4 linked regions of the Struthio camelus genome follow. The protein of the gene in region 1 interacts with the protein of each later gene in a pairwise test. Links are inferred from orthologs where the notes say so. Each region holds a gene or a part of one and is shown in the gene's direction. Other genes may lie near its edges.

The links.
Region 2: the proteins of RGS2 (region 1) and NIPSNAP1 interact in a two-hybrid assay, tested with the Homo sapiens proteins (2 studies listed by BioGRID and IntAct). The link is inferred for Struthio camelus from reciprocal best matches to the Homo sapiens genes RGS2 and NIPSNAP1.
Region 3: the proteins of RGS2 (region 1) and GIT1 interact in a two-hybrid assay, tested with the Homo sapiens proteins (2 studies listed by BioGRID and IntAct). The link is inferred for Struthio camelus from reciprocal best matches to the Homo sapiens genes RGS2 and GIT1.
Region 4: the proteins of RGS2 (region 1) and LRFN1 interact in a two-hybrid assay, tested with the Homo sapiens proteins (2 studies listed by BioGRID and IntAct). The link is inferred for Struthio camelus from reciprocal best matches to the Homo sapiens genes RGS2 and LRFN1.

The regions. Positions count from the first base shown.
Region 1 is NC_090949.1:10,318,300-10,325,494, forward strand, and holds the start of RGS2 (regulator of G-protein signaling 2), read left to right. Parts: upstream 1-4,183; 5' UTR 4,184-4,273; coding exon 4,274-4,383; intron 4,384-4,540; coding exon 4,541-4,642; intron 4,643-4,733; coding exon 4,734-4,795; intron 4,796-5,689; coding exon 5,690-5,856; intron 5,857-6,266; coding exon 6,267-6,461; 3' UTR 6,462-7,195. UniProt on the Homo sapiens protein: Regulates G protein-coupled receptor signaling cascades. Inhibits signal transduction by increasing the GTPase activity of G protein alpha subunits, thereby driving them into their inactive GDP-bound form.
Region 2 is NC_090958.1:5,138,583-5,146,361, forward strand, and holds the start of NIPSNAP1 (protein NipSnap homolog 1), read left to right. Parts: upstream 1-4,771; 5' UTR 4,772-4,814; coding exon 4,815-4,888; intron 4,889-6,095; coding exon 6,096-6,244; intron 6,245-6,427; coding exon 6,428-6,473; intron 6,474-6,760; coding exon 6,761-6,855; intron 6,856-7,105; coding exon 7,106-7,176; intron 7,177-7,262; coding exon 7,263-7,403; intron 7,404-7,486; coding exon 7,487-7,518; intron 7,519-7,723; coding exon 7,724-7,779.
Region 3 is NC_090957.1:16,988,735-16,995,761, reverse strand, and holds the start of GIT1 (ARF GTPase-activating protein GIT1), read left to right. Parts: upstream 1-4,019; 5' UTR 4,020-4,086; coding exon 4,087-4,138; intron 4,139-6,833; coding exon 6,834-6,967; intron 6,968-7,027. UniProt on the Homo sapiens protein: GTPase-activating protein for ADP ribosylation factor family members, including ARF1.
Region 4 is NC_090957.1:1,630,275-1,637,426, forward strand, and holds the start of LRFN1 (leucine-rich repeat and fibronectin type III domain-containing protein 1), read left to right. Parts: upstream 1-4,144; 5' UTR 4,145-4,195; intron 4,196-7,152. UniProt on the Homo sapiens protein: Promotes neurite outgrowth in hippocampal neurons. Involved in the regulation and maintenance of excitatory synapses. Induces the clustering of excitatory postsynaptic proteins, including DLG4, DLGAP1, GRIA1 and GRIN1.

The DNA.
Region 1 (7,195 bases):
AGACGACACAGCCTAAAGCAGAGCTAAGAGCAGAGGCTCAGTCGGCGCCAGCTGTGGGAAGCAGCACATCAGTGCTCTTGGCTGGTCTCCTATTCTGATGCTTCAATGAGCCATTTCAGACACAGCACCAGGACTGCAGAGCTGTAAATTAAAAAAGAATAGCGTGAAAATACATGAAAACGCCCCTGTGTAATCTGCAAAATGTATTACAGACCAAAGAGATACATCTCAACATCTTATTCCTTTTTGAATATTATTTGCCTGCTAGCCATAGATAACAGGGGTTCAATAAACAGAAGACATTTCTCAAACAACTAATGCATGGTTTGAACTACTCCATAAAAGCACATTCCTCCCTCTTCGCTTTAGGAAAGCTTGCTAAAGTCTTCAGATGATTTTTCATAAGTCTTCCCCATCATCCAAGTCTCCTCTATAAGAAGGATAAACAAGGATGAGCATTTTAGAAAAATGTAGATACAGATTTAAATAGTGTGCAGTGAGTACTACTCACTAGGGACTCGGATAAGATCAACACAGCTATTGCAACACATAACGTAACCAAGACGGAAAAAGCCTCATTTCCCCTCCTGGATGTTCACTGCATACGTTACAGCCCTCTGTACATCTCGCTACTGCTGAGGTTAATAGAAATCCTATAAGCACAGAAAGAACAGAACATTCTCAAGAAAGCCTCTACAAAGAGGAGCGCGATCCCCAGGGTGAAAGCTTGTGTCATTGCAAGTTTGAGCCCAGATTTCATCGCAGGCAATGGCTAAATTCTCACTGACTTCAATCGCAGAGCTTGGGCTGTAAGACCCCACCACCACCACACTGCCTTGGTCTTATCCTTTTCAGTGAGGTTTCATTTACAGATTTTTCCTCAGCTACTGAGAGCTTAATCTTTTGGAAAGGACTGATGTCAGCATACATGGGGACAATTTTGGCCCGACTGGTTGGTATGCTGATGTTAGCTGCGCAGACGGATCACATACCAGATGCCCATTCCCGGAGAGCGGCATCCCAATAGGGAGCCTGACGCGGCATCTGAAGTTGCCTATTTTTAGGCCACGTCATGCATTGTGCTGTACCAGCACACCGAACCCTGTGCTCCGACCCCAACCGAGGGCTTTTCTCATTCTCCCAAAACGTTCGGGATAACGCTAGCAGAGGGGCACAGAAGAGGATCGAGAGGCCAATACTTCCTCGCTTGGTTCAACTAGTACAGAGCAGCAATTGGGGGAAACCTGAACCACGTTCAGAAAGGCAGGCTGAGGTCCTGAGCCAGTTTGCCATCCCTGCCTTGAAAAAACTAGAAACTGGTAGAACACGGTAATATTTAGGTTTGATGCATCTAAAACTGCCCGCTCAGCAAGCCCCCTCACCAGCAAAGCCTCAGCACACCCTGCAGCCTGTTTTGCAGCACATCAGTGACATCATTTGATATCAGATTTTTGTTATTACACAAATGGAAAATATCTTTCATCATACAAATAAGTAATCTACCTTCTAGCAAAGGTTAGCATCAGAGAAAGAAATCACGCTGCACAGCGCGATGAAGCAGGAAAATATTTTGAAAAGTTCTTCTGCAGACAAAACAATAAAACTCAGCCTTTATGAGTACAATCAAGCTGTAAGTTAAAAATACACGCATCATACAGGCAATAAGATTTGATTTTAATTTCAATAGTTCTTAAGCTAGAATGCGCCAGTAAGTACATTTTATAAGGCCATCTAATCTCAGTTCTATATTCAGCTTGTGTTTTTTTTTTTTAAAACCTGGAATACTATTTATTTTTTTCCACTGTTCAAAGAGATTACAAATTTTATAAGGTCCCTCCTTAACAGGCACTTTTTTTATGGGTATCTGAAAGAGGCAATTAAAAAGTTTACAATAAAAAGGATCAGACAAACACGTTTCCCACTGCAATTTTCCATACACCAACTACTGCCAACTTTACAACTTGGCAGACGCATGGGAATATTTCAGCTTTACCTTACAAGTCTCCTCCCGAAGTATCAAGAAAGCATTTTGTCAAGCTTCAAACTTCAGCAGGTTCTCGTGTTTGATACGGATAAGCCCCCAAATTCTGACTGCTTAACCAAACCTTACTGTAGCTTGGACTTTGGAGTTCTCATTTCCACTGCTCTTGGGCATATTTTTCCTCAGGTCTCTCAGAGCCACTGGCTGTTTCCATCCCCTCTCAGTTACTGTCCTGTTTTCCCACTACTCTGCACCTTTCCCCACAAGCATCTATGGAGGATCATATACACCTGCCAATCCTATAATTACACCACTCCAAAACACTTTTATCTCTTTGAGCTTCCCTGCAGACTCCCCGCCCCTCCCAAGCAGGTCCAAGTTATTTCAAGACCCTGCTTCAGAGTTTGATGAGCTTCTGTAGCAGACCTACAGACAGAAATCCCCCAAGTTCACCGAGAAGCTACACAAGTTACAGTTCATACTATGCTACTAATTCCAGGGCAGATATTCAAAGATAAGGGACTCTGGGTGAATCAAGGTGAAAGAAACTTGAAACCAGCATCAAAAGTGTGTGTGGGGGGAAATCACTCCCAATCAGGCAGAAGAGTATGATATGCTGAGCGTCATGGCCTTGCAGCAGCTGGGTGAGAAAAATCTGCTCTGCTCTGGGTAAGGCCCTGGGCTGTGTTTCCAGTGAGCTCCAGTTTATGCCAGAGCAGCCTACCCACCCCAGTGGGGAGGCCGCGTGCCATGAAGTTCACATGTGCGGACAGCATTCCCAGCCTCCAGCAAGTTACAGGCTGTTCAGCAGCTCCTGGCAAGCTCCTGCCCATATCATTTGCAGCTGCACAGCTCGGCCGACCATGGAGCTTGCTGCGAGCAAGGATGGAGATGCTTGGAAGCAAGTCAGCACAGCTCTATCCATCACACAGGCACCATCACTGCTGCCCTGCTCTTGGGCAAACTCCCACCAATGGAGCTTCTGACACTGATGTTTTCACACCGCCTTACCTCCCCTGGTGTCTCCACAGGCCCTCTCCCCCATGGTAACATCTTCATAACAATCTCCCATCAAAAATGTGTAATTATATATACAGCTAAGAGCTACCTGCTGCAAAAAGCATTCAAAGCAATTCTGTAAAGTTCAGAGGATGGGATTTTATTTTCCTACCAGACCCCCCTCAACATATCCTGCAAAGGACATCCAACAGGCAGCACTGAAAAGCAACCTTATTCAGACATTTTTACAAATTACATGACATTCATTTGCTCCATATATCTCATCTACAGCAAAATGCCTTCGCACAGCCGTACGCTGCAGCCACTGAGGTTATCAGACTGCAGCAATCACCGAGAAGGAGCAGGCATTCAGAGCTACATGACTGCAAGGAAACCAGTCAGCATGGTGGGAGTCAAATAGTCTCTCTGCTTTTCATGGCAGAAAAATGTGGTGTAGAGCAGTGTGGAAAGGAAGACACACTCACAGAAAAGAGGAGAAAAGTAGGGCAGGTTAAAGAGAAACTCATATGATTCACAAATCGAAAAGTCTTTGGGCATGATGCCCTTCAGACAGACACCGCTGAGAAGGACCACATGGCCTCTGCAGCAAGCCAAAGGCTGAAGTCATTGCAATTTCAGCTTCATGCACGGAGAGTAATTTACACAAGTCGTTGGTAGGTGGCAACACTACACAGGAATAAAAAAAGCACGGACAGCTTATTAAAGTGATGAATAGCCCGAGTCAGCTCAGAGGCGGACACTACAAACACCAAATACTCAGATTTACAATTATTTCACTTCTTTGAAGAAAGGTGGCTACAGAGTCCTTCCTTATCCTTGAAGGCGCCTGTGTACTGGCCACACTCAAAAGCGTGTCTTTCCTTAAAAACACACCTGCCGAACCGCATCTCTGACTCACAGAGCAGAACGAAGAGCTGCTGCTCCGCCAGCACCTGCGGGACGGGCTCCCTTGCGAGCAGCAAAAACCTCCCGAGACACTAGCAACCAGGAGCGAGGGCAGGAGGAGGAGAACAAGAAAAAGAAGGGGAGGAGGGAAAAAAGGTTTCCGAGGGTTTCTGGGCTGGAGCACAGCCCCTGCCCGTCTTCGCTTACCAACAGCGAGCGTGCCCTCTGGGAGCTCCGCGCCCGGCAGGAGGGGCCGGGCCCGCTCCGCGGGGGCGGAGGCGCAGGCGGAGCCGCCCCCCCGCCCGGCTATAAGGCAGCGCGCAGCGGCGGCGGGGCCGCAGCGTGGCCGGGCCGGGCCGAGCGGAGCGCGGAGACGAGCGGAGCGCGATGCAGAGCGCGCTGTTCCTGGCGCTGCAGCACCGCGGCGCGCAGATGGAGCGGAGCGGCCGCCGCCGCGGCGAGGAGGCGGAGGAGAAGGGCCGGGTGAAGAGGACGATGTGAGTCGGGGTTCGCGCCTGGGCTGCTGCCCGCGAGCCAGCGCGGCCGCGGAGGGGCGCGGAGCGAGCGGTGCTGCCGCTGCCGGGGGGGGAAGAAGTCACCACCTCTCGGCCTTTCCGAGCAGTCACTTTAAACACCCCTTTTTCATTCTTCCAGCATTAGAGACTGGAAAACGAGACTGAGCTACTTCCTGCAAAACTCCTCCAGTTCTACTAAAATGAAATCCAAGAAAGCAGGAAAGCACCACACCTACTTCAGGTAACTTCTGAGAAGCAGACTTGAAGTGACTCAAATATCTTGCAAACAAAAAAGAGCTGTAGTCTAATGTATTCTCCATTGCTTTATGCAGACCTTCCCCTGAAGAAGCCCAGCTGTGGTCAGAAGCTTTTGATGAACTTCTTGCTAACAAATGTAAGTTTGTCTTTAAAAAGTAACTTTTAGGAACAAAAGGGGGGTGAAGCTTCTATGCATTTCTAGGAGGTTTCTTCCTTGTGTGTCAGCCATATACCTCACTTTTGCTAATGCACACAGCTTCGATTCTGATCTTGGAAATAAACACTTTAAACCATTTCAAATCCGAATTTATAGAAATGTTATTTTCAAGTTATTTGTAAGCCAATATTGAAACATCGAGAACACTTTGTAGTAGAGGAATTTATTCTTGTTTTAGCTATAACCTCTGCAATGAAACCATACCTCTAGTTGGCTTTGCCAAATGCCAAAGTGCATTTGTTCACTGTGCTCTCTGCATATCCTAGACAAATGCACTACAACAATTTGGAAATTGTTTTGCAACACTGGTGTCAACAGAAGTTCAGTCGATAATCTCTGGGTTTTACCATTGCCCTGCAAGGAAAGCGCTTAGCAGCAGGGCAAAAAGGACTAAGAACTAACATCAGCATTTGCTCTTTGACCTTGAGTCATCCTTTCTGCCACAAAAATATTCCAGAGGTTTGTAGCAGTGTCATAAATATTTACTCCAGTCTAAAGGTTAACACATTAAATCCTATCAAGAGAAAATTTTAAAGTATACATGCATACATCACAAAAGGGAACAGAGGCTAGAGATGGCTTTCATTTGTGTTTACCTAAAAACAGCTAACTTAAGTGAAGCTTGCCAAGCCATTAGAGCGTTAATTTGTTTGCATACATAAATGTGGACTTTTATTGCCATGGCATCCGTGAAAGAAATACACCAGAACTACAGCAATATGTTTGGTAGGAGAAGACATGACAAATGGGTAAATTCAAGATTCCTGAAATACGTAATTGATGTATTTTTGCTTCCCCCCCGCCTTTCCCTAGATGGTCTTGCTGCTTTCCGAGCTTTTCTGAAGTCAGAGTTTTGTGAAGAGAACATTGAGTTCTGGCTGGCATGCGAGGACTTCAAGAAAATCAAGTCACCCCAGAAGCTGACAGTGAAAGCAAAAAAGATTTACAATGACTTCATTGAAAAGGAAGCTCCCAAAGAGGTAAAAGGAACTATATAAACACAATTGCCCTATTCTGTGGCTTTGTAAAGCCCTGCTTTATTTCTCTGCACTCATTTCAAGTTAAATGCCAAAAATTCATCATACATAGCTCCTTGTTAGTATCTGCATCAGATCAGAACTCACTTCCCTAACTGCATTTTCACTAGGTTGGAAAACTGCACAAACCGTGTTTCAGAGAGCACCCATCTTATTTCAGCTAGGAAAAAAATCAGAGCATCATTTAATACCTGTAACATATCTGAGAGTTAAACATGGAAACATCATATCATCTGAACTGCTTTCCTTAAGGAAGTTTCATCAATTGAAGGCTGTAGCAATAGGGTCTTTAACTTTTCTCACCTGTTACAAAATGTAGTTCTCTGAAGTAAGTGTCCTTCTTTGTATTTCAGATAAACATAGATTTTCAAACCAAGAACCTGATTGCTCAGAATATTCAAGAAGCTACACATACCTGCTTCAGTGCCGCACAGAAGAGAGTTTATAGCTTAATGGAGAATAACTCATATCCACGGTTTTTAGAATCTGAATTCTATCAGGAACTGTGCAAAAAGACTCCCATCACCAGAGTGGCCCAGGCAACATGAGCTACAGCAAGGAGCAAGGAGAAGTCTTGCAGCTACTGAAGAAGAAAGCCACAGATCCCCAGCTGCATCCTGACCAGAAGGGCTGAGATACCAAGTGCACAGTCCATCTGCCAGGATGCATGGACAAATATCAACTGTGTTGCAAAGCCGATAGCAGGGGATGATGCTGGAGGGCGTGCAGGGAGAGTTGGCAGCCAGCTGCTAGGGACACACCTTTTTCTGTGAACACTGGTGTGAAAAGGTGATTCCACATTTTCGATGAAGCCGAGTGACGTGACATTCCTCATGTCACAGTGGAGGTGTTGATACAGTAGGTTAGAGCAGAGCTTCCTTTTTGTAAACACAAGCAGCTCTGTACAGCTGAGCAGTGCTGGGAGCTTGAGTAATTGGTTACGTACTTATTTTTCCTAAACATCAACAGTGCTGCTGTCATCATTCACTTAGTGTCTTAACACCAGTTGTGTAAACTAAAGACTTCTAGCTGCAGACAGATGTATCAGGCTTCGCTGCAACTGCTCAACACTATAGCACTGTCACCAGCAGTATGAAGTGAGGAGGGGGGGGATATAATTCACTTCCCAGAGGAGCAGGTTGTGTAACTTAAGTATACAGGGCTGCATGATGTCAGTGGGGCTGCAGGAGAGCAGGCTGAGGGCAGAACATGGCCACAGCAAACAGGAACTATACATATTATATGCAGATTGTGGTTGTGCTGAATGCTGCATTATGTCATA
Region 2 (7,779 bases), on another chromosome or scaffold:
CCTAGAGGCTGGCACGGGCCCACACAAGCCTTCAGAGTCTGACACGGGTCTGTACAAGTTCAGCAAGGGCTCGTAGAAGCCCCTAGAGCTCTGTTTGGACCCGTACGAGCCTGTGGAGGCTGGCAGGAGGTCAGAAAAGCCCCCAGAGGCCAGCACAGGTCCATATGAGATTGGCAAGTGCTCATACAAGCCTGTAGAGCTTGGTGTGGGCCCGAACGAGCCCACAGAGGCCAACAGGAGCCCGGGCAAACCCGCAGAGGCCAGCACGGGCCCACACAAGGTCAATAAGGGCCCTTACAAGAATGTAGAGCTCAGTGCAGGCCCGTAGAGGCCAGCAGGAGCCCACACAAGCCCGCAGAGGCCGGCATGGACCTGTACGACCTCAGTGTGGGCTCATATAAGCCCATAGAGCTCAGTGCAGACCTGAACAAGCCTGTAGAGGCCGGCACGGGCCCGGACAAGCTCGGCAAGGGCTTGTACAAGCCCGTAGAATGCGGTATGGGCCCATACGAGCCCGTAGAGGCCGGGACGGGCCTGTAAAAGCTCAGAAAGGGCTTCTGCAAACCCATAGACCTTGATGCAGGCCCATACGAGCCCCTAGAGGCCAACAGGAGCCCGGACAAACCCACAGAGGCCAGCACGGCCTCATACAGTGTTGGCAAGGGCTCGTACAAGCCCCTAGAGCTCTGTTTGGACCCGTACGAGCCCCCAGAGGCCGGCAAGGACCTAAACAAGACCGCAGAGTCCAGCAGGAGTCCGTACAACCTTGGTGTGGGCTTGTACAAGCCCATAGAGCTCGATGCTGGCCCGTACAAGCTTGCAGAGGCTGGCAGGGGCCCGTATGACCTCGGTGCGGGCTTGTACAAGCCCATAGAGCTCAGTGTGGACCCGGAGGAGCCCATAGAGGCCAGCAGGGGCTTGGAGAAGCCCGTAAAGGCCGCCAGGGGCCTGGACAAGCCAGCAGAGGCCGCCACGGGCCCAAACAAGGGCAATAAAGGCTCATAAAAGAATGTAGAGCTCAGTGCAGACCCGAACGAGCCTGTAGAGGCCGGCACGGGCCCGGACAAGCTCGGCAAGGGCTCGTACCGGCCCGTAGAATGCGGTATGGGCCCATACGAGCCCGTAGAGGCTGGGACGGGCCTGTAAAAGCTCGGAAAGGGCTTCTGCAAACCCATAGACCTTGACGCGGCCCGTATGAGCCCCTAGAGACCGGCACGGGCCCACACAAGCCTTCAGAGTCTGACACAGGTCTGTACAAGTTCAGCAAGGGCTCGTAGAAGCCCCTAGAGCTCTGTTTGGACCCGTACGAGCCTGTGGAGGCTGGCAGGAGGTCAGAAAAGCCCCCAGAGGCCGACACGGGCCTGTATGGGGTTGGCAAGTGCTCATACAAGCCCCTAGAGCTTGGTGTGGGCCCCTACGATGCCATAGAGGCCAACAGGAGCCTCGACAAACCCACAGAGGCTGGCACAGGCCCATAAAAGGTTGGCAAGGGCTCGTACAAGCTCCTAGAACTCTGTTTGGGCCCTTACGAGCCCATAGAGGCCAGCAAGAACCTAAACAGACCTTTCCCAAGCTCCTACGGGCCCACGTCAGGCTCTATGGGCTCATACCAGCCCTTGCTGCCATTTATGTGCTTGTACGGGCCCATCACGACTTCTACCGGCTTGTACGGGTTCGTGCTGGCCTCTATGAGCTTGTATGGGCCCATGCCAGCATCTATGGGCTTTTATGGGTCCATCTTGAGCTCTATGGGCTCATACAGGCCTGCATGGGGCTCTACAGGCTCATATGGTCCTGCACCAAGATCTATGGGCTCATACAGACCGTTCCTGAGCTGCTACGTGCCCGTGTCAAGCCCTACGGGCTCGTATGGTCCCGTACTGGCCTCTACGGGCTTGTATGGGCCCGTGCTGTCATGTACAGGCTGGTACGGTCCTGCACGTAGGTCTACTGGCTTGTATGGACCCGTACTAGCCTCTACCAGCTTGTACAGGCCTGTGTCAGGCTCTACAGGCTCACAAAGGCCTCTACGGGCCTGTACGGGCCTGTGCCAACATTGTCCAAGCCTGCATAGGCCTCTACAGGCTTGTTTGGGCCTTTGCCAGCCTCTGTGGCCTCATGTAGGCCTGCACAGGGTTCTACGGATTCGTACAGGCCCACACCAAACTCTACACACTTGTACGATCCTGTGCCAAGCTCATTCGGCCCCACGCCGCCCTCTACAGGCTCATACGGGCCCGCACCGAGCTCTAATACTCTGGTACAGGCCTTTGCCAAGCTCGTACGGGCCCATGTCAGGGCCTAAGGGCTTGTATGGGCCCGTGCTGGCCTCTGCGGGCTCATATAGGCCCTTGATGCCTTCTACAGGCTTGCACTGGCCCGTGCTGGCCTCAATGCACTTGTACAGGCCCCTGCCAGGCTCTACAGGCTTGTACAGGCCCATGACAGCTTCTACTAGCTTATACAGCCCTGTGCTGGCCTCTACAGGTGCGAGTGGGCCCGTGTGGGTCTCTATGAGCTTGCACACATGAATGCCAGCGTCTACAGGCTCATATGGGCCCGTGCCACCTTCTATGGGCTTGCACTGGCCCGTGCTGGCCTCAACATGCTTGTGTGGGCCCCTGCCAGACTCTACGGGCTTGTACAAGCAGCCTCTACAGGCTTCTACGGTCCCCGTGTTAGCCTCTACAGACTCGTTGAAACCCATTCCAGCCTCTGTAGGATCATACATGTCCATGCCTTCCTCTACAGGCTTGCATGGGCCTGTGCCAGGCTCTACAGGCTCGTACCAGCCTGTGACTGGTCTCTACGGGCTTGTATAGGTCTGCACCAGCCTCTACAAGCTTGTGCAGGCCTGTGCCAAGCTTGTTCAGACCCATGCTGGCCTCTGCGGGCTTGTACGGGCCTGTGCCAAGCTTGTTCGGGCCTGCGCCAGACTCTACAGCCTATAGTCTACAACTATACGAGCCTGTGCCGGCCTCTGCGGGCTCCTACGGGCCTGGGTGCAGCTCTCCGGGCTCGTATGGGCCCATACCAAGCTCTGTGGGCTGGAATTGACCTTTCCCAAGCTCCTATGGGCCCATGTCAGGCTCTACGGGCTCATGCTGGCCTCTATGGGCTTGCATGGGCCTGTGCTGGCATCTATGGGCTTGTTCAGGCCCATCTTGAGCTCTACGGGCTTGTATGGGTTTGTGCCAGCCTCTACGAGCTTGTATGGGCCTATGCCAGCATCTATGGGCTCGTACGGGCTCAAATCGATCTCTGTGGGCTTATATGGGTCTGTGCCAAGCTCCTATGGGCCCGCAGTGGGTGCTATGGGCTCGTGCAGGCCCACCTTGAGCTCTATGGGCTCGTACGGGCCCACACAGGGTTCTATTCCAAGCTCTAGGGGCTTGTACAGGTTTGTGCCAGCCTGTATGAGTTTGTACAGGCCCGTTCTGGCCTTTGCGGACATGTTTGGGCCCGTGTCGGTCTCTACGGGCTTGCACAGGCCCATGGCAGCTGCTACAGGGTTATACGCATAAATGCCAGCCTCTATGGGCTCGTATGGGCCCCGTCACCTTCTATGGGCTCATACTGGCCCGTGCTGCTGGCCTCAACACACTCGTACAGGCTCGCTCTACAGGCTTGCCAGGCTCCAAAGGCTCGTACGCACCCATCCCTGCCTCTGCGCGCTCATACAGGCACGTGTCAGCCTCTATGGGCTTCTACATGCCTGTGCCAGGCTCCTCAGCCATGTTTGGGCCTGGCCTGGCCTGGCCTCTAGGGGCTAGGCTCGTACAGGCGCATACAGGCCTCTACCATCCGATTCGCACCTGTGCTGTCCTCTACGGGCTTGTATGGCCCCATGCTGGCCTCTACAGGCTCATATGTACCCATGCCAACTTCTATAGGCTCATAGGGGTCCATAGCGGCCTCTATGAGCTTGTACTGGTCCGTGCTGGACTGTACAGGCTCACACGGTCATTTAACTGGCCTCTAGGGGCTTGTATGGGCCCATGTCAGGCTCTATGGCCCTCTAAGGGTTGGTGCCAGTCTCTACAAGCTCGTATGGGCCCGTGCTGGCCTCTACAGGCTCCTACAGGCTCGTGCCAGTCTCTTGTAGACCTGTACGGCGTCATGGCAGAGTCTACAGGCTCGTACAGGCCTGTGACTGACCTCTACGGGCTCATGAGGGTCTGTGTCAGGCCCTAAGGGCTTGCAGGGGCCCATTCCACGCTCTATGGGCTCATACAGGCCTGTGCCAGGCTCTACGGGCTCGTACAGGCTCATTCCAGGCTGGGTCCCTGAGGTGAGCAGGGCCCCAGACACCTCGATCCCTGAGGGAGCAGCGCCCCGGACGCCTGGGTCGCTGGGGTCCCCACCCCCAGGCTGGTGCATCCCATCCCCGTCTGGTTGCCCCCCGGGTGTGGTCTGTGAGGGGGTCCGCCCCCCCGAGGCAGGGACCAATGAGCAACGTCGCCCCCACGAGGTGCCCTGGTTGATCAGGCTGCAGCAGAGCAGGGCGTCGCAGCCAATGAGGCGCCGCCATCTTCGCCTAGCTCCTCTGATTGGGTGTTGCCATGTGACCGAGGTGAACGGCCTCTGCCCAGCTCGTGCCCCTGGCCGCGCTCTGGGACCCCCCCGCCCCCGGCAGCCAATAGGGCCGGCCCTGGGGCGTAGCCACGACAGCATTGGGGTGGGCGTGGCAAAGCCCGGCCCAGTACGACAGCCAATCAGAGTCGCCGCTGGAGAGGGTGTGTGGCCGGCGCGTAGCCACGCCCCTGTGCCGAGGGAGGGGTGGGTGGCCGCCGCGCGTGGCCCCGTTGCGCGGGATGATGGCGGCGGTGCGGGTGGCCAGGAGCGCGGCGCGGTGGCTGCGGGCGGGCGGCGGCGGCGGCGCAGCGCGGTGAGAGGCGGCGCCGGGACCCGGCACCGGGACCCGCCCCGACCCCGGGGACCCGCCTCTGCCCTCAGTCCCGGGCACCGGGGTCCAGCCTTGCCCCCTCAGCCCTGGTCTCTGTCCCCTTCTTCCCCCTTCCCTCAGTCCCCCATCCCTTGTGCCCTCCTCCCCTTGTCCCTCTGTCCCCTTGGTCCCCCTTTCCCCCATCCCTCTGTCCCCCCGTCCCCTTGTCCCTCCATCCCCCATCCCTCTGGCCCGCCATCCCCCCGGTCCCCTTGTCCCCCCATCCCTGCCCTCCACCCCTGCCACCCCCGCCTCACGTCCCCATCCCCTCCGTCCCCAGGCCCCCCTCACACGGGGCTGCCCCACGCTGGCTCCCCGCCCCAGGACATGTCCCTGTGTCCCTGCGCCAGGACACACGCAGCCACGGCCGGCCTGGCAGCACCCCGTGCTGCAGAGGGGGGTTGTTTACCCTGCCCCCCCCCCCCACCCCGTGGTTAATGTGTTACCAGCTGCCGTGCAGCGGGCCAAGGTCCGGCCGATGACACGGCATCCCCGAGGAGGCTGGCGCAGGGCAAGCCTCCCCTGCGTGCCACCGCCCCACCGTGGCCCCCCCCAGCGCTGCCTCCCCGAGCCTGCAGGCAGCCCGGCGGGTGCCACCGCCGGTGCCCCCGGTGTGGCGCAGGGGCCTACGCCCTCGCGTGATACCCAGGAGCCTCTGCCCTCGTGTGACACCCAGCCACGCTGCCACGAGTGTCCCTCGCCCTGGGGAGGCTCTTCCCCGTGGGTTGCCCGTGCCCTGAGTGCCTGGTGGGCTGCCCATGCCGGAGCGGGACGAAAGCGGGTGCCAGGGAGCCTCCTCCTTCACAGGGCCCCAGTGACACGTGTGCTAGTGGCACACGCGCGTCCTGGCTCCGACGGCAACATGCCACCAGCAGCCTCAGACAGGCCAAAAAAACCCAAAATCCAGCGCTGGGGGAGCTGCTCCCTGGTTCCGAGCGCAGCTCTCCTGCAAGGCTCTGGACAAGGCATTTTCGCGCCTCAGTTTCCCTCTTTGCAACACAAAACGAATGAAACCAGCCTCCCACAAAGCCCTGTGAGCCAGCCAGTGCTGTCTGTGAGCGGATGCTGCTGGCTGCCTGCAGACTCAGGAAGGCAGAACTGCAAGCAAAACTCCCTCCTCGTTCTTATCGTAACCGATGTCGCCCCCCAGGGTGACACCGGCGTCTCGCAGGGGCTACGCGGGGACGACCGAGGGCAGCTGGCTGCGCTCACTCTTCGTGCACAAGGTGGATCCCCGCAAGGATGCTCACTCCAACCTCCTGGCCAAGAAGGAGACCAGCAACCTCTACAAGATCCAGTGTGAGAGGCGCCGGGGGCAGGCAGGGCCAGGGGCACCTCGGCACAGCTCCGCGGCACCTCCGCACCCCGTTATTTGGCCGTTTGCCCCATTTCTGTCCCCAGCTCAGTGGCTGCTCTCCACTTGGGGCAGCTCCTCCCCGGGCCTCAGCTCCTGCTCTCACCCTCTCGCCCTCTCTCCCACAGTTCACAACGTGAAGCCCGAGTGTCTGGACACCTACAACAGCCTGACGTGAGCCTCCCGTGCGGGTCAGGGTCACCCAGCGTCCCTGCAGGGAGCACCCAGGGGGCTACTGAGGCTGGTGCAGGGCTGGGGGAGCTCACACCGAGCTGCTTCAGGAGCCCCCGGCAGGTTTCTTATTCTGGGCCTCAGTTTTCCTTCCTGTGAAATGGGTGCAGGGAGCTTCCCGCAGGGGTGAGGCCAGGTTGCGTTGGGATGCAGCCCCTGGCTGCCGCCTGCCATCTCCTGGGCGTCCCCTGGGGCACAAGGGTCCCCTGCAATCCCCCATGTCCCCGCAGGGAGGAGGCGCTGCCCAAGCTGCACGCGGACGCCGACTACCCCTGCACGCTGGTGGGCAGCTGGAACACGTGGTATGGCGAGCAGGACCAGGCAGGTCAGTGCGGCAGCATCCCTGCAGCGGGGGCACAGCAGCACTGGGGCCTCGGCGGCCTCCCGCCCTCAGGGAAGGGCCGTGTGGGCAAGGGAGGGTACAATTTTGGGGGGGAAAGTGGCAAAACAGAGCTTTGAGAGGGTGCTGCTGGGAGCTATGCACGGCTCTGTCCTGGTATCACCCGGCCGCCCGGGAGCGAGTGCTGGCGGGTCCCTGGGCTCGGTGGCACCCCATAGGTGCCTTGTCCTTGCAGTGCACCTCTGGCGCTTCTCCGGCGGGTACCCGGCACTCACCGAGTGCATGAACAAGCTGAAGCAGAACCAGGTAGCACTCAGGGCGGCACCGTGCCGGGGTGGGGGGGACACTGGCGTGTCCCTGGGCATCCCCATGGCCATCCGGGCTCCCCGCAGGAGTACGAGGCCTTCCGGCGCGAGCGTAGCAAGCTGCTGCTGGCCCGTCGCAACCAGCTGCTGCTCGAGTTCAGCTTCTGGAACGAGCCCCTGCCCCGGCCTGGGCCCCACGTCTACGAGCTGAGGACCTACAAACTCAAGGCGAGTGGCCCCACGCGGTGCCGGGGGCAGGGGTGCAGGGAGCCACCCGCTCAAACGTTGCTGGTTTGCTTCTCCCTTTCCAGCCGGGGACCATGATCGAGTGGGGCAATAACTGGTAAGGAGACAGCCTGGTCTCTGCCTCAGTTTCCCCCCTGCCCCAGGCACTGCCTCAGTTTCCCAGCTGGTCCCGTCCTTGGGGGCCGTCCTCCACTCCCTCGTTCCCTGCACAGTCCCTGGGGCTGTGGACAGAGGAGGAGGAGGAGGAGGAAGAGGAAGGCTTCTGGCACCCCACAGCAGTTCTTTCCCCCCACCCCGGCCAGGGCTCGGGCCATTAAGTACCGGCAGGAGAACCAGGAGGCCGTGGGTGGCTTTTTCT
Region 3 (7,027 bases), on another chromosome or scaffold:
AGCGGGGCGGAGCGCAGCGCGGCGGACCCCCCCCCCCGGCCCGGGCACCCCCCCGCACCCGCCCGGCCTCATGGGACTTGTAGTCCCCCCTGCCCGCGTCACCTTCCTCCTCCTCCTCCTCCTCCCACCGGCATCGCTCCCCGCCCCGGGGCTCCCCCAGCCCCAGACCCGCTGGGACCCCGGGGACCCCCGCTGCCCCCGGCCCCTGCGTGCCATGGGGCCGTGCACAGGTGGCCGCGAAGGGGCACCGCGGTGGCCCCGATCCCCCCAGCAGATCCCCCCCACCCCCAGCTGATTCCTCCCTCCCTTTCCTGCCCCCCCCCCCCCCCCAGTGAGCCAGCGGCTCTTGGCACATGATGGGGGGGCGGCAAGGGCCATGGGACAGGCGGTTGTGCCGGTGGGTGCCAAATGGCCCCCCGCGCCGTGGCCCCCCGGCTCGGCGAAAGGCCAGGCCCGCGGCCCCTGCCCCTGCGTTTCCTTTTCCGCCTGCGTTTCTCCAGGGCGGGAGTCGTGTTTTCCGGCTGCTGCCGGAGAACAATGCGAGGCTGGGCCTTCCCGGCACGGCGCGGCGCGGCGCTCCGGCCTTCCCTGCCAGCGCCCCGCTCCCGGCCCCGGCGCCGTTCCCCTCTGCTGCAGGGGCGCGTGCCCCACGGCCTTCCTGTCCTCCGGGCAGGGACACCTGCCCCGCGGTATTGCCATCCTCCGGGCAGAGACACCCGCTCCACGGCATTCCTGGCCTCTGGGCGTGGATGCCTGCCCCACGGCGTTCCCATTCTCCAGGCAGGGACACCCGCCCCACGGCGTTCCCGTCCTCCGGGCAGGGATGCCTGCCCCACGGCGTGCCCCACGGATGCAGGAAGGGCCCAGAAGGGTCTGCTGCCAGGTGCCCAGCTCCCCAGCCCCCGGCACGGGGCTCCTGGCCCACCCGGCCCGCCGCCACCTTGCCCCCGCTCCTGCTGAGCTGCCCCCCGCCCCCCCCCCCGCCATAGGAACAGCCCCAAGGAATAAATGCAAATTGTTATTATTCTCCGTTGCTGTGGCCGGAACAGCACAGCCGCAGCAGCACAGCCAGCTCCTCCGCTGCGCCAGCCCCGCTGCCTGCTCCCCGGGGCCGGGGTGGCCGGCATCCCCGTGCAGCATCCCCATCCGCCCTGTGCTCCCCGCGGCTTCCGTGCCCTATGACGTCATAAGCCATCTCCACGGCAACCAGCAGTGAGGTCACCCGCGCCGGCCGGGCCACGGAGCCTGCCCCGCGGTGGTGCTGGACGGCAGGATTCGGCCAAGCTGGGGCCGAGCCACCAGCCCCACTTGGGCGCGGGGCGAGGAAGCTGCTCCAGCCCTGGTGCAGCAGGAGATGTTCAGGACACGGCAGCTCGGGGCCCCTCCGGCTGCTCACAGAGGCCTGTTGGGGTTTCGGGAGTGTCCCCCAACTCTGCGAGATTAAAGGATCCCAGAGCAGGGACTGGACCCCAAACAGACTCTGCTCTATCCATCCCCCCCACCCAAATCATTCGTGCGCAGCCCTGTGGTGCAGGGAGCCTGGCCCCATATGGCCCTGCACCGCCCTGGAGAGGTTCATCCATCTCAGAGGTCTCCATGGGTGGGGGCCACCCCCACCTCCGGATGGGGAACCGAGGCCGTTAGCCACGCCGCGGACAGGGGCCAGAGCGCTGCCGACCCTTCCCGGTGTCCTGGCTCCCCTCGGCCCCCAACCAGCCCAGGCACGGGGGACTGCTGGTGCTGGGCCCTGGGGAGGGTGCACAGGGCAGGGGCTATGGCCGGGCCTGGGGTGGGGGACAGGACCAGGGCTGGGGTGCACAGGACTGGGGCCAGGAGCAGGGGGGTGCACAGGACCAGGGCTGACACCAGGACCCAGAGAAGAGGGGTGCCCAGGGCTGGGTGCCCAGGGCCAGGACAAGGACCAGGAGCAGGAGGGTGCCCAGTATTGAGGAAGGGGGTGCTGAGGACCAGAAGCAGGACCAGGGGTGTGCCTAGCACTGCAACCAGGGCCAGGACCAGGATGATGCCCAAGACCTGGGGTACACAGGACCACAACCAAGGCCAGGAGCAGGGGTGTTCATTGAACTGGGGCTCAGACCGGGACCAGGAGCGGGTCCAGGACAGTGCCCAGGAATGGGAGGATGTCAGGCCTGGGGCTGGGGTGCACAGGAACAAGGCCAGGCCTGGGACCAAGAGCAGGAGGGCCTGCAGGACCAGAACCAGGGCTGGGAGCAGGATCAGGAGCAGGTCTGTGATGGTGCCCAGGAGCAGGACAGGGGGATGCACAGAACTGGGACCAGGAGTAGGAGCAGGGCAGGCGGATGCACAGGACCAGAACCAGAACCAGGAGCAGGGCAGGGGGATGCACAGAACCGGGACCAGGAGCAGGAGCGGGAGCAGGGCAGGGGGATGCACAGAACCGGGACCAGGACCAGGAGCGGGAGCAGGGCAGGCGGATGCACAGGACCAGAACCAGAACCAGGAGCAGGGCAGGGGGATGCACAGAACTGGGACCAGGAGCAGGGCAGGGGGATGCACAGAACCAGGACCAGGAGCAGGAGCGGGAGCAGGGCAGGGGGATGCACAGAACCGGGACCAGGAGCAGGGCAGGGGGATGCACAGAACCGGGACCAGGAGCAGGAGCGGGAGCAGGGCAGGGGGATGCACAGAACCGGGACCAGGAGCAGGGCAGGGGGATGCACAGAACCGGGACCAGGAGCAGGAGTGGGAGCAGGGCAGGGGGATGCACAGAACCGGGACCAGGAGCAGGGCAGGGGGATGCACAGAACCGGGACCAGGAGCAGGAGCGGGAGCAGGGCAGGGGGATGCACAGAACCGGGACCAGGAGCAGGGCAGGGGGATGCACAGAACCGGGACCAGGAGCAGGAGTGGGAGCAGGGCAGGGGGATGCACAGAACCGGGACCAGGACCAGGAGCGGGAGCAGGGCAGGCGGATGCACAGGACCAGAACCAGAACCAGGAGCAGGGCAGGGGGATGCACAGAACTGGGACCAGGAGCAGGGCAGGGGGTTGCACAGAACCAGGACCAGGTGCAGGAGCGGGAGCAGGGCAGGGGGATGCACAGAACCGGGACCAGGAGCAGGAGCGGGAGCAGGGCAGGGGGATGCACAGAACCGGGACCAGGAGCAGGAGCGGGAGCAGGGCAGGGGGATGCACAGAACCGGGACCAGGAGCAGGAGCGGGAGCAGGGCAGGGGGATGCACAGAACCGGGACCAGGAGCAGGAGCAGGAGCAGGGCAGGGGGATGCACAGAACCGGGACCAGGAGCAGGAGCGGGAGCAGGGCAGGGGGATGCACAGAACCGGGACCAGGAGCAGGAGCAGGAGCAGGGCAGGGGGATGCACAGAACCGGGACCAGGAGCAGGAGCGGGAGCAGGGCAGGGGGATGCACAGAACCGGGACCAGGAGCAGGAGCGGGAGCAGGGCAGGGGGATGCACAGAACCGGGACCAGGAGCAGGAGCAGGAGCAGGGCAGGGGGATGCACAGAACCGGGACCAGGAGCAGGAGCAGGAGCAGGGCAGGGGGATGCACAGAACCGGGACCAGGAGCAGGAGCGGGAGCAGGGCAGGGGGATGCACAGAACTGGGACCAGGAGCAGGAGCAGCAGCAGCAGCAGGAGCAGGTCCGGGACGGTGCCAAAAGCGGGGGCGCGGTGCGCAGGAGCGGGGCAGCGGTGCCCAGCCGCGGGGTCGGGGGGCGCCCAGGCCCGAGCCCGGCGGCGCAGAGGCCCGCGGCCGGCGGCGGCGGGGGCGCGCGGGCCGGGCCGGGCCGGTGCCGCGGTGCCGGTGCCGGCGGCGGCGGCGGCGGCGGGGGCGGCGGGGCGGGGGCGGCGCTGCCCCTCCCCCGGCGGGGCCGGGCTTGCGCCGCTTCCTGCGGAGCCGCCGGGCGCTGGGAGCAGCCGGCAGCCCCGGCGCGCCGCGGCCCCGGCCCCGGGCCCCTCGCCGCGCCCCGCCGCCGCCGCGCCCCGGCCCGGCCCGGCCCGGCGCCCCCGGCGGGCCCGGCGCCGCCGCCGCCGCCGCACGCTGGCGCAGAGGCCCGGGCCCGGGCCCGCCTCGCCGCTCAGGATGTCCCGGAAGGCGCAGCGGGCGGAGGTGTGCGCCGACTGCAGCGCCCCAGGTAAGGGCCGCGCCGCCGCCGCCGCCGCCGGCCCCGGCCCGCTGCGGCCCCGGCTCGCCGCCGCCGTGAGCCCGCGGTGCAGCCGCGCTGCCGCCCCAGTGAGCCGCCTTGGCACGCCGCGGGGCGCCCCGTGTCCCCCCCCCCGCACCCCCGTGGTGCACCCCGCGCTGCGCCCTCGGCTGCCCCCCCCCCTTTGCATGCCGCGGGGCAGCCTTTTTTCTCCCCGCTGCCCCCCCCCTGCATGCCGCGGGGCACCCCGTCCTCCCCCCCGGTGAGCCCCCCGGTGTGCCCCCGCATCCCCTCTGGTGTGCTCTCAGCGTGCCCCTGCGGAGCCCCTTGGTGCACCCGTGTTGCACCCCAGGAATCTCCCGGTATACCCCTAATGTACCCCCAGTGAGCCCTAACCAGCAAACCCCCCGCCCCCGGAAGGCCCTGCTGCGACCCCAGTGCACCCCAAAGCCCCCCCAGTGCACGACCCCCCCCAGTCCTCTGCACCCCCCGGGCGCGGGGGCTGCTGCTGCAGGCTGGGGACGCACCTGGCCTGCACCAGCAGCACCGGGGACCCTGCAAGTGGCAGCGTGGGGGGACCCCTCCCTCTCCCCCCGGCTTGCCGAGGGGCCCCCCGCTCCTGCCCGACCCCCCGCTCCTGCCTGGCACCCCCAGCCGGCCGGGGCCAGGTTGGGCGACGCCGCGCAGGGCTGCGCCAGGCCCGCGCCGGCCGCGCTGCAAGCCGAAGCCTGAGCCTGGGCAAGACGATTCGCGTCCCCGGCTGCGCCGGTGCCCGGCAGCCCCCGCGCCGGATGCCAGCCCGGTGCTCGGCACGCCGCGCAGCCAGCGGGGAGGGGGCCGGGGCAGCCCCCCGAGCTGCCGCCCGCCGCCGTGCCCGCCGCCGGCCCAGGCGCGTTTCCGCGGCGCGGAGCTAATGAATGAAAAGGGCCGAGCGTCGAGGCTCGCTCCGCTCGGAGCCGGGCCCGGAAAGCTGCCTCCGGGCGAAGGGTGTGCTGGAATTATTCCGGCCGCGTGCCAAGGGCCGGATCCTGCCAGGAGAGCCGCCGGGCGCGCGTGGGAGCCGAGCAGCCCCGCGGGTCGGGGCGCTTCCCTGCGCTGGCAGGCGAGTCCGGGGGACGGGGGCATCGCCGCCAGGCCTGCCGTGCGTCAAGGATTCCTCCCGGCGCAGCGAAATGGGAACCGGTTTCTTCCACTCTCTTATCACCCGGCAGCCAGGGGAGGAAATGAGTTATAAAGTCCAGCGGGGCTGCGTCCCACCGCCCGGCGCGGGGGGAGAGCGCCGCGGGCTGCCCGCCCGGCACGCCGCCGCTTCGCCGCCCGCGCGTCCCCGGATGCCGCCCTCGGCATCGCGCGGGGCGCCGTGCCGGCGTGGTCCCCGCCGGCGCCGGGCGCCTCTCCGGGCCCCGCTGGTGCAGCCCGCCGGCCGGCCAAGCCGAACGCAGGGGCTCCGGGCGGGGGGGGCGGCGGGGACCCTCCCTGGCTCTGCCCGCCGGCGCGGCGGGCCGTTCCCGCAGCGCCCCGCGGGCAGCGCGCGCGGGCACAGATGCGGCCGCGCCGGCTGCCAAGGCTCCGCCATCTGCGCCCGCGGAGCCGCCAGGCCGCCGGCGAGGGCTGTGCACCGCGGCACGGCGCCCCGGCCCCGGGGACCCCCGGCGCCCCGTGGCGGCGGGGGCAGCTCTGCGGCAGCACCCGCCGCGGGCGGAGGGAAGGGGCCCGGCGTGCCGGCGACCCCGGCCGCCCTTTTGCCGGGGCAGGAAGGAAGCGCGGGGCGGGCTGGCTCCATCGCCGCCCGCCAGGCTTCCTCCGCGGGGGTAAGGGGAACGGGTCCTCGTCCCGCTGCGGCCGCGAGAGCGGCCCCGGGGGGCCAGAGGGGCAGCGCCGAGCTGGGCCTGGGCACCCTGCGGGGGCTGCTGCCGGGCGGGAGGGGGGGATGCTCCCGAACTCGCGGCCTCGGCCGCCGCGGGGGCTGCTCCGGAGGCTCCCGCCCGCCGGGGACGCGGTGACCTTGCGCCGGCCGCGTCCTGGCTGCTGCGGGGCGGCCCGGGCGCGCCGAGGGCCCCTTCGCGTCGGCCAGCGCCCGGGCGTCGGGAGCTGCACGTGCGCCCGCCGCCGGGCCCCGAGCGGGCGCCGAAGGGCCGAGGCGGGCAGGGCCCCCCCCCCGTCCGCCGGTGCCAGCTCGGAGCCGGAGCGCCCGGCCGCTCAAACGGCCCTTTGTTCTCGCGCGGATACAAAGGGCTCCAGTCCGGCCGGCCGGGGGGGAAGGGCGGCCCGGCCGGGGAAGGGGCCCGGCGGCGGGCAGGGGGCCGCAGCACCTGCCCCCCCCTCCCCGCCTGCCCCCCGCGCCGGGCCGCTCGCCGGCCGCCCGGGGCCTGCCGGAGCTGCGCACGCCGGAGCTGCAGCTCGGGGCAGCCCTGGTGGGTGCGACTCCCTCCCCCCCCGCCAAAGCCCCTGCTCGGCCCAATCCTGCCCCCCCCCAACCCATTTTGCCATGTTGCTAAGGGAAACCTTCAGGTTTTCCCTAGCGATGGGCTGAGCCCGCAGCGGTAGCTAGGGAAACCTTCGGGTTTCCATGGCAACGGGTCCCCTGCATCCCCCCCCCCCCCCGGCTCTGCCGGCAGTGGGGCAGCGGGGGGCCGGTGGCCGGGGCGGGGAGGGCGCCCTGTGACGCCCCGCGCGCCCCCCGCAGACCCCGGCTGGGCCTCCATCAACCGCGGCGTGCTCATCTGCGACGAGTGCTGCAGCGTGCACCGCAGCCTGGGCCGCCACATCTCCATCGTCAAGCACCTGCGCCACAGCCCCTGGCCCGCCACGCTGCTGCAGGTGGGTGCCGCGGGCCCCCGCCGGCCGCGGGCCCCCCCCCACCCCGCCGCCGCCGCCGCC
Region 4 (7,152 bases), on another chromosome or scaffold:
ATGGATGGAGGGATGGAGGGATGGATGTGGACACAGGGCTGGAGGGAGGGATGGTGGGAGGGATGGAGAGATGGATGGAGGGATGATGGGATGGTAGGAGGGAGGGATGGAGGGATGTGGGGATGGTGGGATGGATGCAGGGATGGATGGAGGGATGTGGGGATGGTGGGAGGGGTGGAAGGAAGGATGGAGGGATGGAGGGATGCGGGGACAGACGGAAGGAAGGATGCAGGGATGGATGCAGGGATGGAGGGATGGAGGGACAGATGGAGGGATGTGGAGATGGAGGGATGGAGGGATGGAGGGACAGATGGAGGGATGTGGAGATGGAGGGATGGATGCAGGGATGGAGGGATGGAGGGACAGATGGAGGGATGTGGAGATGGAGGGATGGAGGGACGGAGGGACAGATGGAGGGATGGATGCTGGGATGTGGGGATGGACGGATGGAGGGATGCAGGGACAGATGGAAGGAAGGATGCAGGGATGGATGCAGGGATGGAGGGATGGATGCAGGGCTGCAGGGATGGATGGACGGATGGAGGGATGGATGGAGGGACGGACAGAGGGATGGATGGAGGGATGGAGGGATGGATGCAGGGCTGCAGGGATGGATGGACGGATGGAGGGATGGATGGAGGGACGGACAGAGGGATGGATGGAGGGATGGAGGGATGGATGGAGGGCTGCGGGGACAGATGGATGGATGGAGGGATGCAGGGATGGACGGACGGACAGATGGATGGATGGAGGGATGCAGGGATGGATGGATGGATGGAGGGATGGATGGAGGGATGCAGGGACGGATGGACGGACAGATGGAGGGATGGAGGGATGCAGGGACGGACGGAGGGGTGGATGGAGGGATGGACGGAGGGATGGACGCAGGGATGGACGGAGGGATGGATGGATGGAGGGATGGAGGGATGCAGGGATGGATGGATGGATGGGGGGATGTGGGGACGGATGGACGGATGGAGGGATGGATGGACGCAGGGACGGACGGACGGACGGACGCGGGGATGGACGGAGGGATGGACGCAGGGATGGACGGAGGGATGGATGGAGGGACGGATGCAGGGATGGACGGAGGGACGGATGGAGGGATGGATGGAGGGATGGATGCAGGGATGGACGGAGGGATGGAGGGATGGATGGGGGATGTGGGGACGGAGGGACGGACGGAGGGACGGACGGAGGGATGCAGGGACGGATGCAGGGATGGATGCAGGGATGGAGGGATGGACGGAGGGATGGAGGGATGGATGGAGGGACGGATGCAGGGATGCAGGGATGGATGGATGGATGGATGGACGGAGGGACGGACGGAGGGATGGATGGAGGGACGGACGGAGGGATGCAGGGACGGATGCAGGGATGGATGGATGGATGGGGGGATGTGGGGACGGATGGACGGATGGAGGGATGGATGGACGCAGGGACGGACGGACGGACGGACGCGGGGATGGACGGAGGGATGGACGCAGGGACGGACGGAGGGATGGATGGAGGGACGGATGCAGGGATGGCTGCAGGGACGGATGCAGGGATGGACGGAGGGATGGAGGGATGGAGGGATGGATGGGGGGATGTGGGGATGGACGGACGGACGGAGGGACGGACGGAGGGATGGATGGAGGGACGGACGGAGGGATGCAGGGACGGATGCAGGGATGGATGCAGGGATGCAGGGATGGACGGAGGGATGGAGGGATGGATGGAGGGACGGATGCAGGGATGCAGGGATGGATGGAGGGATGGATGGAGGGATGGATGGAGGGATGGATGGACGCAGGGACGGACGGACGGACGGACGCGGGGATGGACGGAGGGATGGATGGAGGGACGGATGCAGGGATGGATGCAGGGACGGATGCAGGGATGGACGGAGGGATGCAGGGATGGAGGGATGGATGCAGGGATGCAGGGATGCAGGGATGGATGGAGGGATGCAGGGATGGACGGACGGACGGATGGATGGATGGAGGGATGCAGGGATGGATGGATGGATGGAGGGATGGATGGAGGGATGCAGGGACGGATGGACGGACAGATGGAGGGATGGAGGGATGCAGGGATGGAGGGATGGACGGAGGGATGGAGGGATGGATGGAGGGACGGATGCAGGGATGCAGGGATGGATGGATGGATGGATGGACGGAGGGACGGACGGAGGGATGGATGGAGGGACGGACGGAGGGATGCAGGGACGGATGCAGGGATGGATGGATGGATGGGGGGATGTGGGGACGGATGGACGGATGGAGGGATGGATGGACGCAGGGACGGACGGACGGACGGACGCGGGGATGGACGGAGGGATGGACGCAGGGACGGACGGAGGGATGGATGGAGGGACGGATGCAGGGATGGCTGCAGGGACGGATGCAGGGATGGACGGAGGGATGGAGGGATGGAGGGATGGATGGGGGGATGTGGGGATGGACGGACGGACGGAGGGACGGACGGAGGGATGGATGGAGGGACGGACGGAGGGATGCAGGGACGGATGCAGGGATGGATGCAGGGATGCAGGGATGGACGGAGGGATGGAGGGATGGATGGAGGGACGGATGCAGGGATGCAGGGATGGATGGAGGGATGGATGGAGGGATGGATGGAGGGATGGATGGACGCAGGGACGGACGGACGGACGGACGCGGGGATGGACGGAGGGATGGATGGAGGGACGGATGCAGGGATGGATGCAGGGACGGATGCAGGGATGGACGGAGGGATGCAGGGATGGAGGGATGGATGCAGGGATGCAGGGATGCAGGGATGGATGGAGGGATGCAGGGATGGACGGACGGACGGATGGATGGATGGAGGGATGCAGGGATGGATGGATGGATGGAGGGATGGATGGAGGGATGCAGGGACGGATGGACGGACAGATGGAGGGATGGAGGGATGCAGGGATGGAGGGATGGATGCCGGGATGCAGGGATGGATGGATGGACGGACGGACGGACGGAGGGATGGACGGACGGACGGACGGACGGACGGCCGCGGGGATGGCTGCGGGGACGGCCGGACGCAGGGCTGCGGGGACCGAGGGCCGCGGGGACGGAGGGTGGGACACGCCGCGGGGGAGGCAGCCGGCGTCTCCGGCGTCTCCGGCGGCCCCGGGGCGCCCGGGCCCCGCCCGCCGCTGCCGCCCGCTGCCGCCCGCTGCCGCCCGGTGCCGCCCCCCCCCCGCCCCCCCCCGCCCCGCCCCGCCCCGCCCCGGCGGCTCTGCGGGCTCCGGAGCGGCCAGCCGCGGCCTGCGCCCCCCCGCCGGTAACCTCCCCCCCCTCCACCGGTAACCCCCCCCCGCCGGTAACCCCCCCCCCCCGCCGCCCGCTGCCGCCGGGCCCGGCCTTTGCCCGGCCTCCCGCTGCCCCCCGCATCATCCCGGGCCCCCCCCCCCGCCCAGCATCATCCCGGGCCCCCCCCCCAATTATCCCGGTCCCCCCCCCCCGCCCAGCATCATCCCGGGCCGCCCCCCCCATTATCCCGGTCACCCCCCCATCATCCCGGTCACCCCCCCCAGCATCATCCCGGGCCCCCCCCCCATCATCCCAGGCCCCCCCCATCATCCCGGCCCCCCCCCCGATCATCCCCGGCCCCCCCCCCAGCATCATCCCGGTCCCCCCGCTATTACCCCGGTCCCCCCCCCCGCAGCATCATCCCGGTCCCCCCCCCTGCAGCATCATCCCGGGCCCCCCCCCAGCATCCCGGTCCCCCCCCCCAGCATCATCCCGGGCTCCCCCCCATTATCCCGCCCCCCCCCCCGCAGCATCAACCCGGTGCCTCCCATCTCGGGCTCCTTCCGCATCATCCCGGTCCCCCCCCCCATTATCCCGGCCCCCCCCAGCATCATCCCGGTCCCCCCCCCATTATCCCGGCCCCCCCCAGCATCATCCCGGGCCCCCCCCCATTATCCCGGCCCCCCCCAGCATCATCCCGGTCCCCCCATCCCGCTGCCCCCCCCAGCATCCTGGTCCCCCCCCCCCGCCGCATCACCCCGGTCCCCTCCATCCCAGCCCCCCCCCCATCGCGGCCCCCCCCCCAGCATCCTCCCGCCCATGGCCCCCCGACGGGGTGAGGCCTGACCGGACCCGGCGCCCCCCCCCCCAACGCGCCCCCCCCCACCCCGGCACCGGCCTGCGCGGCCGCCATGGGAGAGGCCGGGGGCTGAGCCCCCCCCCAGGTACCGGCACCGGCGGGGGGGGGGACCGGTTACCCGGGGGGGGTCTGATTTGGGGGGGGGACCGGCTACTGGGGGGGGGCTGATACTGGGGGGGGACCGGCTACTGGGGGGGGCTGATACTGGGGGGGGACCGGTTACCCGGGGGGGGGGTCTGATACTGGGGGGGGGACCAGCTACTGGGGGGGTCTGATATTGGGGGGGGACCGGTTACTGGGGGGGGGTGTCTGATATTGGGGGGGGGACCGGCTACTGGGGGGGGTGTCTGATATTGGGGGGGGTCGGTTACTGGGGGGGGCTGATACTGGGGGGGGACCAGCTACTGGGGGGGGTCTGATATTGGGGGGGGACCGGTTACCCGGGGGGGTGTCTGATATTGGGGGGGGGACCGGCTACTGGGGGGGGGGCTGATATTGGGGGGGGTCAGTTACCGGGGGGGGCTGATATTGGGGGGGCACCGGTTACTGGGGGGGGGTGTCTGATATTGGGGGGGGGACCAGCTACTGGGGGGGGACCGGTTACCCGGGGGGGTGTCTGATATTGGGGGGGGGGACCGGCTACTGGGGGGGGCTGATATGGGGGGGGACCGGTTACTGGGGGGGTGTCTGATATTGGGGGGGGGACCGGCTACTGGGGGGGGCTGATATGGGGGGGGACCGGTTACTGGGGGGGGTCTGATATTGGGGGGTCCTGATATTGGGGGGGGGTTGGTTACTGGGGGGGGCTGCAGGGACGGGGGGGGGGAACGGGTGTCCGCAGGGTCCCGGTGTCCCTCGGCCTGGTGAGCCCCCCCCCATTGCCCCCCCCATTCGGTGCCTCGTGCGGGGGCCTCGCACGCCCCCCCCCGCCACCTCGCACACGCGTGTCGGCCGGCTCTGCGGGACGGTGGCGTGTGCGTGGCCGGGGGTATGCACGCGTGTGCGTGTCCGGGCTGGGGGGGGGTATGCACACGTGTGTGCGGGGTCGCGTGTGCACCGGGGGGGGGGCGGTTACGGGTCCCCGGGGCTGCTGGGGAAGGCAGGGAGCGCCGGGGCGGGCGCGTTGCACGGCTGCACACGCGTGTGCGGGGGGGGGGGTGTGCACGTGTTTCGCAGGGTTGCCTGCGCCGTGGGGGGGCACGCGTGTTGGGCGGGTGGAGGGGTATCTGCACGTGTGTGCACGCGTGTGTGCATTGTGGGGGGCATGCGCACGCGTGTGCACGCGTGCGTATGTTCACTGTGGGGGCGTGCACACGCGTGTGCATGGGTGTGCACTATTGGGGTGTGCAAACACGTGTGCATGTGCGTGTGTGTGTTCACTATTGGGGTGTGCACACACATGTGCATGTGTGTGTGCACTATGGGGTGTGTGCACACGCGTGTGCATGGGTGTGTTCACTATTGGGGTGTGCACACGCGTGTGCATGGGTGTGTGCACTATGGGTTGTGTGCACACGGGTGTGCATGTGTGTGTTCACTGTGGAGGCTGTGCACACGCGTGTGCATGTGCATGTGTGTGTTCACTGTTGGGGCGTGCACACGCGTGTGCATGGGTGTGCACTATTGGGGTGTGCAAACACGTGTGCATGTGCGTGTGTGTGTTCACTATTGGGGTGTGCACACGGGTGTGCATGTGTGTGTGCACTGTGGAGGCTGTGCACACGCGTGTGCATGTGCATGTGTGTGTTCACTGTTGGGGTGTTCACACGCATGTGCATGTGTGTGTGCACTATGGGGTGTGTGCACACGCGTGTCCATGGGTGTGTTCACTGTTGGGGCTGTACACACGCGTGTGCATGTTTGTGTGTGTGTGTTCACTATTGGGGTGTGCACACGCGTGTGCATGTGTGTGTTCACTATTGGGGTGTGCACACGTGCGTGCATGTGTGTGTGCACTATGGGGTGTGTGCACACGCGTGTGCATGTGTGTGTTCACTATTGGGGTGTGCACACGCGTGTGCATGGGTGTGTGCACTATGGGTTGTGTGCACACGGGTGTGCATGTGTGTGTGCACTATGGGGGCTGTGCACACGCGTGTGCATGGGTGTGTGTGTGTTCACTATTGGGGTGTGCACACACATGTGCATGTGTTTGTGCACTATGGGGTGTGTGCACACGCGTGTGCATGGGTGTGTTCACTATTGGGGTGTGCACACGGGTGTGCATGTGTGTGTTCACTGTGGAGGCTGTGCACACGCGTGTGCATGTGCATGTGTGTGTTCACTGTTGGGGTGTGCACACGGGTGTGCATGTGTGTGTGCACTATGGGGTGTGTGCACACGCGTGTGCATGTGTGTGTTCACTATTGGGGTGTGCACACGCGTGTGCATGGGTGTGTGCACTATGGGTTGTGTGCACACGGGTGTGCATGTGTGTGTTCACTGTTGGGGTGTGTGCATGGGTGTGTGCACTATGGGGGTGTGTGCACACGCGTGTGCATGTGTGTGTTCACTGTTGGGGTGTGTGCATGGGTGTGTGCACTATGGGGTGTGCACACGCGTGTGCATGGGTGTGTTCACTATTGGGGTGTGCACACGTGTGTGCATGTGTGTGTGCACTATGGGGTGTGTGCACACGGGTGTGCATGGGTGTGTGCACTGTGGGGGCTGTGCACACGCATGTGCATGTGCATGTGTGTGTTCACTGTTGGGGTGTGCACACGCGTGTGCGTGTGTGTGTGCACTGTGGGGGACACAGGGATGGGCTCTACTGGGCCGTACTGGGCCGTACTGGGCTGTACTGGGCTGTACTGGGCTGTGCTGGGTTGTATTGGGCTGGACTGTTTCATACTGGTTCGCACTGGGCTATACTGGGTTGTACTGGGCCATCCTGGGCTGTGCTGAACTGTACTGGGCTGTACTGGGCCATATTGGGCTATGCTGGATTGTACTGGGCTGCACTGGGCTATACTGGGCTGGACTAGGCTGTACTGGTCTGTATTGGGTTATACTGGGCTGTACTGGGCTCCATTGAGTTGTACT